Linked DNA regions of Lytechinus pictus. The protein of the gene in region 2 purifies or fractionates together with the protein of the main gene of each other region. This does not show direct contact. Links are inferred from orthologs where the notes say so. Each region holds a gene or a part of one and is shown on either strand. Other genes may lie near its edges.

Region 1 (7,806 bases), on a different chromosome or scaffold from region 2:
ACCACCTGGAGTCATACTGAGCCTCGAGGAGGAGATGAAGTCAGTGAACATGACCTGGGGTACCGGTAGTTTCCAGAAGAAGGCCCAGCTCAAAACCGCCAGGACTCGGGAGTGGAGATCCGAATACTTCGTTGCTGCCCTCCATATGAGGAGGCTGTAAGTTAGGTAATTCAGATGTCAAGTTTTCTTTTGGGGTCTTTGTGTATCCTCTATTATGAGAATTATGGAAAAGAGATGGTGATTTAATGGTTTTAAAGATGTAAAATATGAAATTCTAGCACTTTTTTTAGGCCTAATATGAGTTCGGACACCCTACTTATAATTTTTTTTTGAGGAGCGCGATATTTTTGTACATGACCCAAGCCTAGTTTCACCACAGGTTAATTAATAGCTACACAGCTGTTGCATTTACAATTTTAATAACAATCTACAACAATTGAGCATTTTATAAAATTGAGTGTGTCTAGGAAAGCAAATTCGGAGGCATAAGGAGAGCCATTTATTGAGCTCCATGGAATTATAAACATGAAGGACTGATCTCTGCGACATCGATTTCAGAAGTATTCCCAAGACCAAGTGAACTTACTCATTTTTTTAATAAATATGATGATGTGCTGTTTATCATTATAGTTGAATCATTGATTCACAATCCCATGTATTTTTCTTAATGTGCAAATGGAATTTTACAACACTCTGTAGTAACCCTTGCCCGCCTTAGGTGTAGACATGTATTGCTATTCACTGTAATATAGACGTATTTTTATTCACTGTTCACTGTACTGATTATTTTTCTCTCCATTGTTTTAAAAAAATTATTCAGATACATCGCATCTACCAGCAAAGAACGTGTGCCAGTACAGGGAAGGAATGTACCTGTCGCACGTGAACTCTTCAGAGGCAGTGAGGACAACAAGATCTGCAAGCAAGTGATCCTTTTTGTAAGAAAATTTCCAATTTGTACATTTCACAATTAATTTTTTTTAAAGCCTTTGTACACATTTAGAGTATCAAGGCTTACAATATGTAAAAATTAAATGTTTGCCCAAAAATCATTATGGGAAAGGTGGATTTCCAAGGAAAAATCAAATCTATCTTTGTTTACACAGTTGTACGAGCAACCTTATAGGAGGCTTGTCTAGGCTCCGTGATGAAAATACAATGTAAAAATTGATTCACAATCCCATGTATTTTTCTTAAAGTGCAAATGGAATTTTACAACACTCTGTAGTAACCCTTGCTCGCCTTAGGTGTAGACATGTATTGCTATTCACTGTAATATATACGTATTTGTTATTCGCTGTTGTTCACTGTACTGATTATTTTTCTCTCCATTGTTTTTGAAAAAAATTCTTCAGATACATCGCATCTACCAGCAAAGAATGTGTGCCAGTAGAGGAAAGGAATGTACCTGTCGCACGTGAACTCTTCAGAGGCAGTGAGGACAAGATCTGCAAGCAAGTGATCCTTTTTGTAAGAAAATTTCCAATTTGTACATTTTACAATTAATTTTTTTTTAAGCCTTTGTACACATTTAGAGTATCAAGGCTTACAAAATGTAAAAAATTAATGTTTGCCCAAAAATCATTATGGGAAAGGTGGATTTCCGAGGGAAATCTATCTTTGTTTACACAGTTGTACGAGCAACCTTATAGGAGGCTTGTCTAGGCTCCGTGATGAAAATACAATGTAAAAATGATAAAATTATCTTCATGGAGTCCTCTAGGCTAGCCAGTGACATGGGCCCAGGCCCATCAATTTTAATTCATGCTTTTGCATAACCAAATGGCGTGAATTTGGAACTGGAAGTATAATTTCAGATTGACCTCCGAAATGAAACGTGCAGGCCTGGAGGCTGAAGTATTTTTTTATCTTTGAAATTAAATTGGTTCTCGTTGTTTTTTACCTCTGACTTACCAGTATGTGTGGGGGTACCGTAGAAGTAGAATTAAAGGGATGGTCCAGGCTGGAAACATATCTCAATAAATAGAGTAAAATTCACAGAGCAAAATGCTGAAAACTTGATCAAAATTTGATAATTAATTAAGGTTTTGAATTTTAAAGATTTGCATTATTCCGGTGAAATAGTTCTAGGCATGTCTTTATGAATATTCATTAGGTTGGCTGATGATGTCATATCCCAATTGCCCTTTTGTATTTTATTATATGAGATTAGGTTTATTAAGATATTTTTAACCAAGAACTATTGACAATTGGATTGACAACTGATTAGGTGCATTAGTTATTGACGCAACTTATTTCATTACAATGGAGACGCATCATTTACACATGTATGAAAAAATCAAACATTTATGATTTCATCTAGTAACATAAAAAAAAGGAAAGTGGAGATGTGACATCAGCCCACCTAATGAATATTCATGACGAAGTGCATACAACTGTTTTCACAAAATATTGATAAACTTTAAAATTCAATAACTTCTTGTTATCCTATTTTGATGAAATTTTCATCATTTTGCTCTGTGAATTTTACTCAAGTATTATTTAGATGTAAATATTTTCGGCCCGGACCATCCCTTTAATCCTCTGATAAAATTTTGTATTTCATTTTTTTTTTTTTGCTTTGTCTTGCGTTTTTAAACATGTTCTGGGAACTGCTTTTTGAAAGTTGTCAGCATTAACAAGTTGTCTTTTTCCGACAGTTACCATAGTAACAGTCAGAGGCCAGTGCTTCTCAGCCAATCAAAAGCAATGATTTCACTGAAATAGTCGGCACTGACAATCATGAAATACCCATCAGATGTTAGCAGATAATGTGCAACATAGACTCCTAGATACATATATGCAAACATACATAGTCTAAGTCTTTATTATTAAAATAAATGTATAGGTATAAGGTCGAGGCAATTTTATCTCTGCGATGTCAATTTCAGAAGTATTCCCAAGACCATGTGAACTTACTATACATGTTGTAATAAAAATGATGTGCTGTCTATCATTATAGTTGAATCATTGATTCATTTATAATTGAATCATTGAAATATGGAACTTAGAGAAGTTTCACTATCCCATGTATTTTCTTTATGTGCAGATATAATTTTACACCACTGAAATTTTGTATTACGGTATTCACTGTACTTATTATTTTTCATTCCATTGGTTTTTTTTTCTAATCTTCAGATACATCGCATCTACCAGCAAAGATCAAGTGCCACTACAGGAAAGGAAGGTACCTGTTTCACGTTTCCTCTTCAGAGCCAGTGAGGGCCCCAAGATCTCAATAAATAATAATTAAAAAAAGACTCCTTTATCATTCCTTTAAAAATAGTACATATTATTTATTGAAGGTAAATGCTTAGATGCATTATATTCAAATTTTGTCTCCAAGCTAGCATGTAAAAATTGGATTGACTACATATTTACTGTGTAAGTTAATGATCTTTGTTGACACATAATACAAGAATTATACACAGCATGTTACAGTTTGTAACATAATTTTCTTTCATTAAATTCCTAGTTTAAATACCATATAGATGTTTTTTGTGACTTTTGTCATTCTCTGATGTTTTTTGGTACAGATTTCAAGAGACTGAGGGATTGATTTACCAGAGCAAGTTTACAGTCCAATCCTGTTATATTGTGCATGTGGAAATTAACAAGGTTTCAATACAATGCTACAAATTTACCTTGATTCATTTCATCAGTCCTATGTGCAAGGATAATTATTTCACTTGTCCATGCACATTGTTATAACAGGAGTGGACATTCAATGTAAAGATTATTGAAGATAATTTATAATTGAAATAACCGCCTGAGAGGGGGGGGGGGTGTGTTGGTACCAATATTATAATGTGTGTGTGCGCAAGGAAAACGAAGGAGTGATTATATGAGAAGAGTAAAAGATCGGGAATGTACATATCCACATGATTCATTTTTGTTTATGCTATACATTGCAGGGTGTTTCTAACTGGTACCACTTGACAATTTATGTTTCCAACTGGTCCTAACTGGTGCTTCCAACTTGTTCTAACTGGCACCAGTTGACAACTGGTGTTTCCAACTGGTTTTAACTGGCACCAGTTGACAACTCATGTTTCCAACTGGTCCTAACTGGCACCAGTTGACAATTGGTGTTTCCAACTGGTTTTAACTGGCACCAGTTGACACCTCATGTTTCCAACTGGTCCTAACTGGCACCAGTTGACAATTTGTGTTTCCAACTGGTTTTAACTGGCACCAGTTGACAACTCATGTTTCCAACTGGTCCTAACTGGCACCAGTTTACAATTGGTGTTTCCAACTGGTTTTAACTGGCACCAGTTGACAACTCATGTTTCCAACTGGTCCTAACTGGTACCAGTTAGGACCAGTTGTCAACTGGTACCAGTTGCTAACTGGTACCAGTTAGGACCAGTTGCCAACTGGTATTTCCAACTGGTACCAGTTACAATTTGTCAACTGGATTCCAGTTGAATCCAGTTGATTCCAGTATTCCAATTTCCATATTGAATCCAGTTCGCTAACTGGAATCAACTGGTACCAGTACCAGTTGGATGAACTGGTCCTTAACTGGTTTTTTGACCTGGGATAATTAAAATGTCTAATTTTTTGCTCGCTCGCTTCGCTTATTCCCAACGTCGTTATTTTAAGTGATAGGCCTACTTAATATTCAGCCCCCTCACAATTGGCTCATTACGCCACTGATTCCATTCATTCTCTTTGGTCTGCAAATCCAAAAGAATTGAAATTGAAAACGAGAACAACAGACTATTTACACCTCCGCCCCCCCCCCCCTCCGATCCGAATATAACCCGGAAGCGGAAGTTAATGCTCCCGCTAGCTGGTCATCAGCTGTCGAATTTCCTACTCATTGACATTGCACAGAGCCAGGAAAAGAATCACGATCCACAAAAGAATTGTATTTAAAGAACTCGTGGGACAGCGAAGTATTTATAGCAGTACATGAAAGGTATTGTACGATTTATTCTGTACTCTGATCGATCGTTAAGAAAAACGTTAAAACTCCAAATTAATGTGTCGGCAAGCGGTCTTTCTTGTCTTGTTTGTTGTGTGTTGTGACTTGGACCGTGGATGAGCAAATGCAATTTTTTATTTTACACCCTGAATGAGTGCGTTCACGATCCCGTGATAAACGTATTCGAATAGCACATGAGTGAAATCGTAGTCGTAAAACATCTGATGTGCTGTGCAAGGACAGGTTTAGTCTTGTGCTCGGGTAACCAGGCGGCTTCTAGAGAGTAAAAATCATTGACTAACGTAATGTCACTCTCATGAAGCCAGGCCTTCTATCCCATAGACCCACACAATGGAAGCCAAAACCTGAAACTTTCACCCCCGAGATTTCTACTTTCCTTCTAAAAGATCTAGGCCTAGCTCTAAATCATGTGCATGGCCACTCAATGTCTGAGGTCCAACATTACATGTATATGTATGGACCTCATAGGCGACATAAGTGATAAAATCGGTTAGACATTGCCGTTTCTATTTGCACACAAGGACTTTGGCAAATGTACGCCTTAATACAAATTGGATGGTAAAAATTTTGGTATAAATTAGTTCTTAACATCTTAAATAATCTATTACAATGGTTAAAAGTTAATGGATTGAGGTTAAACTTACATTTTCAGTCTTTTTTCTTGAATTCTTGGTGAGCGTTCCAAACGCTGTGGGGACTGATTAACTCCGATGTGATTCACGTACTGGTCAGCTGATCGGTCAGGTGATCGGTTGGTTATCTTTTTGTCAGACGTTCATAATTTATATTACAATATATCAATCTTCAGTATCTTGATTTCAAGCATCAGTATTGCAGGGAAAAGTCATTATCGATTGGAATCAGTGGCAGATCGGGGGGGGGGGGGGGGGGGGGTGGTTGAGCATTTCTGGCCCGTTCCACCTTTTGAGATTCATAGTAAATATTTTGGATGTAAAAAAAAATATGTCGTTCGTACAAAATTATGTCCCCCCCCACCTCCTTATGAGAATCACAGCAATATTTGTAATGGGGATATTTTGTTCATATTCTTTGCTCTTTTTTGTCCTTTTCTTTTTTGCTTCTCAAATTTATTTTACTTTGAACAACATGACTTTCTATATTTAATGACAAACTTTTTTAGGGGGGGTGGGGGCTTGCCAAATATAACGCGCGGCAAGATGACCTTCTTTTTTTAGTGACAACTTTTTTTTTATTTGTCAAATTTTACGAGAGACAAAATGACCTTCAATCATTATTAGTTAAACCTTTTTTTTTTTTGGGGGGGGGGGGTAGGGGGCTCGCCAAATAGTGACACACTTTTTTTGTAAAATTTTACGCAAGAAAAAAATGATCTTCAATCATTATCAGTTACCTTTCATTTTTTTTTTTTTTAGGGGGGGGGGCTTGTCAAATTTTACGTGGGACAAATGACCTTCATTTTTTAGTGATTTTTTTTTATACTTGACAAATTATAAGAGGAACAAAATGGCCTTCAATCATTTTTAGTTAAAACCTTTTTTTTTGGGGGGGGGGGTAGGGGGCTCGCCAAATAGTGACACACTTTTTTTGTAAAATTTTACGCAAGAAAAAAATGATCTTCAATCATTATCAGTTACCTTTCATTTTTTTTTTTTTAGGGGGGGGCTTGTCAAATTTTACGTGGGACAAATGACCTTCATTTTTTAGTGATTTTTTTTTATACTTGACAAATTTTAAGAGGAACAAAATGGCCTTCAATCATTTTTAGTTAAAACCTTTTTTTTTTGGGGGGGGGCTTGCCAAATATTTCACAAACAAAATGAACTTCAATTTTAGTGACCATCTTTTTATTACTTTTAAAATTTCACGCAGGACAAAATGACCTTCACTTTTTTTTAATGTTATGTTATATCGAGATTTTTTACCTGACTGCTAAACAAGCACGAATGCCTGTGAGCAAGCAACCAGGGGACCGACGGCTTAAGGTCCTCTCCGAGGGACCTGGTAATGAGGATAAATGCCTTACCAAAGGGCACTAGCGCACCACTTGGTAATCGAACCTGGGTCACCGGAATCCGAAACCCCCGCTCTACCAACTGAGCTATCGCGCCTCCGATATGTTAACCTTGGGGGGGGGGGAGGCTTGCCAAATATTACAAGGACAAAATGACAGTCTTTTATTTTTAGTAACCATCTTTTTTGTTTTACTTGTCAAATCTTACGCGAGACAAAATGACCATTTTTCTGTGATAACCTTTTTTGGGGGGGTTGTCAAATTTTACTTGAGAAAATGCACCCCCCTACTTTGGAAAATCGAAGATTAAGATCATGAGTATAGCCTACATCTCAGAGGCGTAAACAGATGGGGGCATGGCTGGCCATCCCCCGAGTGGATTTCACCTGAAAAAAAAACATGATAAGAGCAAAGGAAGGAAGAAAGAAAGAAAGAAAAAATGAAAGAAAGAAAGAACGAAAGGAAATGTAAAATGGAAGGAAAGTCATGTGAGAACAAATAATCCGGGGGGGGGGGGATCTACTCAGATAATAAAAAAATCTGCCATCTGTAATTAAATTGGATTAGTTAATATCCAGAGGTCCCAGTGCTACCAACATGCATGTAGTGCGGGCAGTGGCGTACCTAGGATTTTCCACAGGGGGCAAAATCGACCGCCAAAAAATTTGACAAGCAAAAAAAAAAAAAAAAAAAAAAAGGTCTTCAAGCTCGTCAGGGGGGGCAGAGATACGTAATTTGCATGGGTTTGTGACTCATCGGGGGGGGGGGGGGGGGGGGGGGGCAGACTGCCCCCCCTAGGTACGCTAGTGCTCGGGACTTACATTAGTATGTAACTATTATCTTCCACTCTCTTATATAC
Region 2 (7,129 bases):
AATTGGACACATGTTCACTTTCGATCCTTTCATCCAGGCCACTCCCTCACATCCACCAGGTTTACAGTCTTATAACAAAAATGATGAATTAATTAGAATACCATCACACCATAGCTCCATGATCACACAACATTCACACAGTGCTTCACAACAAATATTTCACCTCTGTTCAGACATGCAATAATTACTGTGGAAAACAAAACAAGGCGTAACCACATTCCAATACCGTTTAAAAGGACAAATATATTATAAAACATGGCGAGATCTTTGATTTGAATCATGTGTAGAATTTAAAGTGAACGTGAAATGAGATTTTGGCATTCTGTCACAACTGAAATGCACTTTCGCACCTGGCGATTTTCGCAAATTGATTTTGTCCAGATTTATCAATCCATAACCTGAATTTCAGCCACATCGAGCATCGGCAACGAGTGTATTTCGGCTTCGATCTCGACGCCTTCGTTTAAATTCTCAATTGGACTTTGCCGTAGTTGCGATATGGACTGAAGTTAGCGATCATAATAATGTGAACCTGCCTCGCGAAGGATGGGGCAGTTCGCGCTGCGCCGCCTGTGTGTCCGCGCGGCAGGTTTTCTGTCTTTCGTTCTTTCTATCTTAATTTGCTTTGCTTGCTTCATTTCTTTCATTCCTTCTTTGATTCTTTTGTTCTTTGTTTTTGCCCCATTGCTTTCATACTTTTTTCTTTTTATTTTTATTTAACATTTTTTCCCTTTTTATTTTACATTTTTTCCCTTTGACTCCTTTCACTTTGTTCTTTCTTTCTTCCCTTTTATTTATCCTTTCTTTACCTTTCACTTCTTCTTTTTTTTCTTTCGTCCTTCCTTTTCTTTATTTTCTTTAATCCTTTTTTTTAGTGATAAAGGGGACAAAAAAAAAAATAAATGAAAAAAAATAAACTTGCGTCTTTTTAAAATGTTTTCTTCTTTCTTTACTTTTTGGGACCTATAGAAATAAAAAACAGTAAAAAAAATTAAAAAATAAAAATAAAAGGCGGGGCGATATAATGAATATCAGCTAATGCAATGAAATACGTTGAACAAGTAAATAAAAGGGTTAATGTAAATCCTCCAAAACCAAATACTTTTTAAACTTTGATTTTAATCATGTGTAGAATTTAAAGTGAACGTGAAGTGAGATTTTGGCATTCTGTCACAACTGAAATGCACTTTCGCACCGGGCGAGTTTCGCCAATTAATTTTGGCACAATATAATAATTTTATTCCCAAATGTCTAATCAATCCATAACCTGAACTTCAGCCGATCTCGACGCCTTCGTTTAAATTCTCAGTTGGACTTCGCCGTAGTTGCGATATGGACTAAAGTTAGCGATCATAATAATGTGAACCTGCCTCGCGAAGGATGGGGCAGTTTGCGCCGCGCCGCCTGTGTGTCTGCGCGGCAGGTTCACATCATTATGATCGCTAACTTCAGTCCATATCGCAACTACGGCTTCTTTGTTTTTTCCCCATTACTTTCATACTTTTTTTCTTTTTCTTATTTTACATTTTTTTCCCTTTGACTCCTTTCACTTTGTTCTTTCTTTTTTCCCTTTTATTTATCCTTTCTTTACTTTTTACTTCTTCTTTCTTTTCTTTCGTCCTTCCTTTCCTTTATACTTCCTTATTATTTTCTTTCTTTAATCCTTTTTTTTTTAGTGATAAAGGGGACAAAAAATAAAAAATAAAATAAAAAAATTAACTTGCGCCATTTTAAAATGTTTTCTTTCTTCTTTACTTTTTGGGACCAATAGAAATAAAGAACAGAAAAAAAAATAAAAAGCGGGGTGATAAAATGAATATATGCTAATGCAATGAAATACGTTTGACAAGTAAATAAAAGGGTTAATGTAAATCCTCCAAAACCAAATACTTTTTAAACTTCCCCTTTTATAGTTAAAATGAGGGGCAATATTTTAAACGCTACTTTAACTAAATATCATATTCGTCCAACTTACCTTTAATCAATCATATATTTTTCAAAACAAATTACGACTTCAAATAAAAACCTAACTTTCACATTCCTTTCAAACCACAACCTTCTCTTAAAAAATTCAATTTTAGCTGAAATTTCTTGTCTTCCTATGTATTTTCTTAAGCGCTTAGAGACATTCTTTGTGATAAGCGCTATATAAATGATATTAATTATTATTATTATTATTATTAAAATTCAAATGTTTATTTCTTTCCCATCTTGAATAAACATGTCAATCTACAACAAATTCTTTTAACTTAATCACACCCCAAAACCCGTGGAATTTCCACGGGCTCTGCTAGTTTGTTATGAATACTGATTAAAACAATTGAAGCGAAAAAATCGTGAAAATTGAAAAATATGAAAAAAAATTAAAAACAATAGAAATACATAAGAAATTTATGAAACCATGAAAAACAAGAAAAAAATTGTTGAAATGGCTAATTTCCTTTCCAGTCATATCAAATATGTCTCAATAGAACATTTTAAAAGAAAAAACTCTTTTATTTCCATATATTTTAAATTATTTGAATTTTTGAAATTATGGGGACAATTGTGTACGTTCTCTATGGGGACAAAGTGTCCCATACGTAATATGTCATTAATTTGTTTAATTAGAGTCTGTAATTAGAGGGTTTTGGCTTATGACATGAAACTTGCCCTAGATATACTAGAGTGTTGTGACTTCTATCACACTAAATTACAAGTTGTCAAATGAAATACTTTCAGAGAATTCTCAACTTGAAAAAAATGTTCTAAAAATTGTCTTTTTTCTGCGTCCCATACATAACGGCACATTTTTTCTCTCTGAAAGGTCAGGGTCATACGTCGCCATTTTTGGCATGATTATTCTCCTCCTAGATGTCTACCATCATGAGGGTATTCAATCTAATCAAAGTCATTTAACACTATTTTTCAGGTCATTAAAGCCTCTGAAATGTCCCATACGTAACACGCGCAAATTCTTGGACTTGCCCTGATATAAACTTTTTTTTCAGATTCAGTTGTCCTCAGATCCATCTGGCTCATAAAGGGTAAAGGTTGTGCTTACTAAGTGTTGGAATTTCAATTTGGACGTCAAAATTCTTACAAAATGGTTGAATGTATCCGTTTTATTTCAATTGACTAAAAAGTGCAAGGGAAATGTATGAGAATTGTTTCACAGGGTAAGTTTGATATCGCACTTTCCCCTTGACACAGCGTGAAAACAAGCATTTCTGCGCAAACAGATTTCTGCGAGCTTTACAAAAATGGACAGTGCTCACTCAAGTGTAACATTGGGTGATTTCAAGTTCAGTGTTGACCTTTTGGTGTTGGTGTTGGGTCAATTTTTACACAATTATAACACCAAACATAAAATGAGGATGGTCCCGAAAAGTCACTCACTAGTTGTTGAGATGTCAATAATGTGATCTGGATCAGTTTTACAAACTCTGAATAAGTTTTGGAGCTAGGGGAAGCAATCGAAATTTCAACACTAACACCAACACCAAGGCCAACACCGAACTTGAAATCACCCATTCTGTCAAAACTTTTACTTTCATGGATAGATGAGACCCAAACCCAAAATTATATTTGAAAAAATTACCCACATGTTGTATATTTTTTTATTTATGGCTTTTTCAAAGTGTAAACTTTTTTTTGATACGCACTGTATACCAATAGGTGCGCTGTCATTAAATTTTGGGGACGTAACACAATTGGGGCGAGTTCAAGACACATGGCCCTATGTAATTATCACCTTCAAAATTGGAAAATTCTCAAGGGTGCCAAAGTGGGATCAACCTGATTTTGAATCAGTTTACCCTCAAATATTATTTCTAGCAAAAGAATTGCATTTGTAGTATTTTGTACCTTACTTTATGCTAATGCTGAAATTTTGATGAGTTTTACTGGACTAGTAATGCATACATGTGAGTTCTTTGACTTGCCCTAAAATATTTTGTTCTTGTGATTGAAGATCTATTAGAGGGATCAACTTCAAACTGTGGGTGAGGATTAAGTGATTGGATTTTGTGCGCACAGGGTGAAAGGTTGCAGATGTCATTATTTTAAAAGTTAGATATGTATGTTCTTTATATGACAATGGCAGAGTAGGCAAAAACTTTGACTGCATGTAGTTGAGAATCCAGTTTTATTTTTATTTTTTACATTCATCTAGGTAACAAACTCAAAGATGACAGACAAGGGAGACAAAGACAAGAAAGTGGATCTTGGTCTTCTGGAAGAGGATGATGAATTTGAAGAATTTCCTGCAGAAGGTAAGGAGAGCTCAGAATGTTCAGTTCTATGGATTTGTTTGTCAAGGAAAGTTGAAGAGAGAAATAGAGATTAAAAGGGGAAGAATTTCTTGCTGATCAGGGGCCGCGGAACGGTTTTCAAAGTGGGGGAGGGCTGAGCCAAAAGTGGGGGGGGGGCTGACTATGCAAAAAATCACAATCATATAGTCATTTTTGTCTCACCTGCATAGCAGAGTGAGACTATAGGCGCCGCTTTTCCGACGGCGGCGGCGACGGCGGCGTCAACACCAAATCTTAACCTGAGGTTAAGTTTTTGAAATGACAGCATAACTTAGAAAGTATATGGACCTAGTTCATGAAACTTGGCCATAAGGTTAATCAAGTATTACTGAACATACTGCCTGAGTTTCATGTCACATGACCAAGGTCAAAGGTCATTTAGGGTCAATGAACTTAGACCATGTTGGGGGAATCAACATCAAAATCTTAACCTAAGGTTAAGTTTTTGAAATGTCATCATAACTTAGAAAATATATGGACCTAGTTCATGAAACTTATACATAAGGTTAATCAAGTATCACTGAACATCCTGCATGAGTTTCACATCACATGACCAAGGTCAAAGGTCATTTAGGGTCAATGAACTTTGGCCGAATTGGGGGTATTTGTTGAATTACCATCATAACTTTGAAAGTTTATGGATCTGATTCATGAAACTTGGACATAATAGTAATCAAGTATTACTGAACATCCTGTGCAAGTTTCAGGTCATATGATCAAGGTCAAAGGTCATTTAGGGTCAATGAACTTTGGCCAAATTGGGGTATTTGTTGAATTACAGCCATAAATTTGAAAGTGTGTTGGTCTAGTTCATAAAACTTGGACATAATAATAATCAAGTATCACTGAACATCCTGTGCGAGTTTCAGGTCACATGATCAAGGTCAAAGGTCATGTAAGGTCAAAGAACTTTGGCCACGTTGGGGGTATTTGTTGAATTGCCATCATATCTCTATAAGTGTATTGGTCTAGTTCATAAAACGTGGAAATAAGAGTAACCAAGTATCACTGAACATCTTGTGCGAGTTATAGTAGTTTTCAAAATCAGCACTGCTGCTATATTGAATCGCGTGATGCAGGTGAGACGGCCAGAGGCATTCCACTTGTTACGTTTTTGTACATGGTTTGGAAAAAAGTGGGGGGGGGTTGAAGCCCCCCAGCCCCCCGTTTCCGCGGCCCCTGCTGATGGTTTGGAGACCCCTTGATGTTCAGTTCTATGGTTATTCTTTGTCAAGGAAAGTTGAAGAGATAAAGAGAGATTATAAGGGGAAGTCTATCCTGATGAAATAAAAAACAATTGTTCTTCAAAAAAAGTACATTTCAGTGAAAGCTTTGAGCCATTTGTCTTAAAAGTGAGAATCTGGCAGAGAATATGTAAAAAAAAACATGTAATTACGCAAATATTGATTTGTAACTCAATGATGCAATATAAAAGCTATCATTGTTGTCTTTATAGTTCTATTTCTATAATTCAATATTTGCACTTAAATGTATAATGTTTGCAAGGATCCTGGGCTATTTTATAGTCCATCAAAGGGAATGTTGTTCACATGTGACATCAGACATCTTTGTCGCATTGACAATGGGAGTATCTCCATAGCATTAGTGATAGCAATATTCAAATGCTCATAACTTTCTCATTATTTTGTCTAGAACTCCAATCTTTCTCAAACTTTCTTTGATTTTATTCTTTTATTTTTCTGTTTCCACACAAGCCCACTTGTTCCAAAGGTTTCATTCCCCTTTAATTATTGATAAGATATGTCTGATATACCTGTAGACTGTAAGAAAAAAACAGTTTTAATGTAATGAAGTCACATGGGTATAATTTTAAAGTGATGGGTGCTTGTTATTTCTTACATTATTTTTCTTTCATCTAGAATGGAAACGTGATGAAGAAGATCAATCAGATAACAATGTATGGGAAGACAACTGGGATGATGACAATGTAGAAGATGACTTCTCTAAGCAACTTAGGTAAAACTCTGTTCTCCCAAACAAAGAGCACTATCATTTTACCATTTTGAGGTGTGTAACAGACTGACAGAAATGTGTGTAACAAAATCCAAAGTGTGTGTAAATGGTATCATCTATGCAGGTGTGTGTGTAAGTAGTGGGGTTGGAGATGTGGGGAGCAGCTGAAATATTGTATAATACAGTGCGAGTCAGAAAAATGTTAGACTTTTTTAATTTAGTATTTTTTAAAGAAAATGTGGGATTCAGAGAGAATTTCTAGCATGTATGGATAGAGTAAACATTCCTTTGTTACTTGGTAAAATTTGTTTCAATGTTGTTGTTATGGTTGAGTGCACAACAGCCATTGTTTGAAAAAGTGTCAAAACCCATTTGCACCAAGTCATGTGATTACCTGCTGGAACGGGGACAAAAGCATTTAAACAATGAGAGTAAAGTTTATGTGTATGTTTATTCATCAAAAAAAATAAGCAAGAGAACAGGTAAATCAATATATTATCTTCACTGAAAAAAGCTCCTTTTCATTGTCATTTTGGCCACAACTTGGACAAAGCTTCCTGCCTTCAATCTTCCACATGTTGTCCATTTCTCTTGATGCACTTCTGAGCTCGATGGAGCATTGCTGCCAAGGCCCTGCGAAGTGTCTGCCTGTCTTCGTCTGGGGGTACCTGAAGTCAAAGGTGTACAGCACCCCACCTGCAGATCTGGATGACTTGCAGCAGCGCATCATCAGAGCAACATGTGGAAGATTAAAGGCGGGAAGCTTTGTCCAAGTTGTGGCCAAAATGACAATGAAAAGGAATTTTCTTTCAGTGAAGATAATTTACTGATTTACTGGTTCTCTTGTTTATTTTTCTTGATTA

The links. The genes of interacting proteins can lie anywhere in the genome.
Region 1: the proteins of 26S proteasome complex subunit SEM1-like (region 2) and ubiquitin-protein ligase E3C-like purify together in Homo sapiens (affinity purification with western blotting; 3 studies listed by BioGRID and IntAct, with this or other methods). This does not show direct contact. The link is inferred for Lytechinus pictus from reciprocal best matches to the Homo sapiens genes SEM1 and UBE3C.

What each region holds. Positions count from the first base shown.
Region 1 is NC_087255.1:24,586,235-24,594,040, forward strand, and holds the start of ubiquitin-protein ligase E3C-like, read left to right. Parts: upstream 1-4,800; 5' UTR 4,801-4,927; intron 4,928-7,806. UniProt on the Homo sapiens protein: E3 ubiquitin-protein ligase that specifically catalyzes 'Lys-29'- and 'Lys-48'-linked polyubiquitin chains.
Region 2 is NC_087247.1:71,573,691-71,580,819, reverse strand, and holds the start of 26S proteasome complex subunit SEM1-like, read left to right. Parts: upstream 1-4,122; 5' UTR 4,123-4,168; coding exon 4,169-4,253; intron 4,254-6,172; coding exon 6,173-6,269; intron 6,270-7,129. UniProt on the Homo sapiens protein: Component of the 26S proteasome, a multiprotein complex involved in the ATP-dependent degradation of ubiquitinated proteins.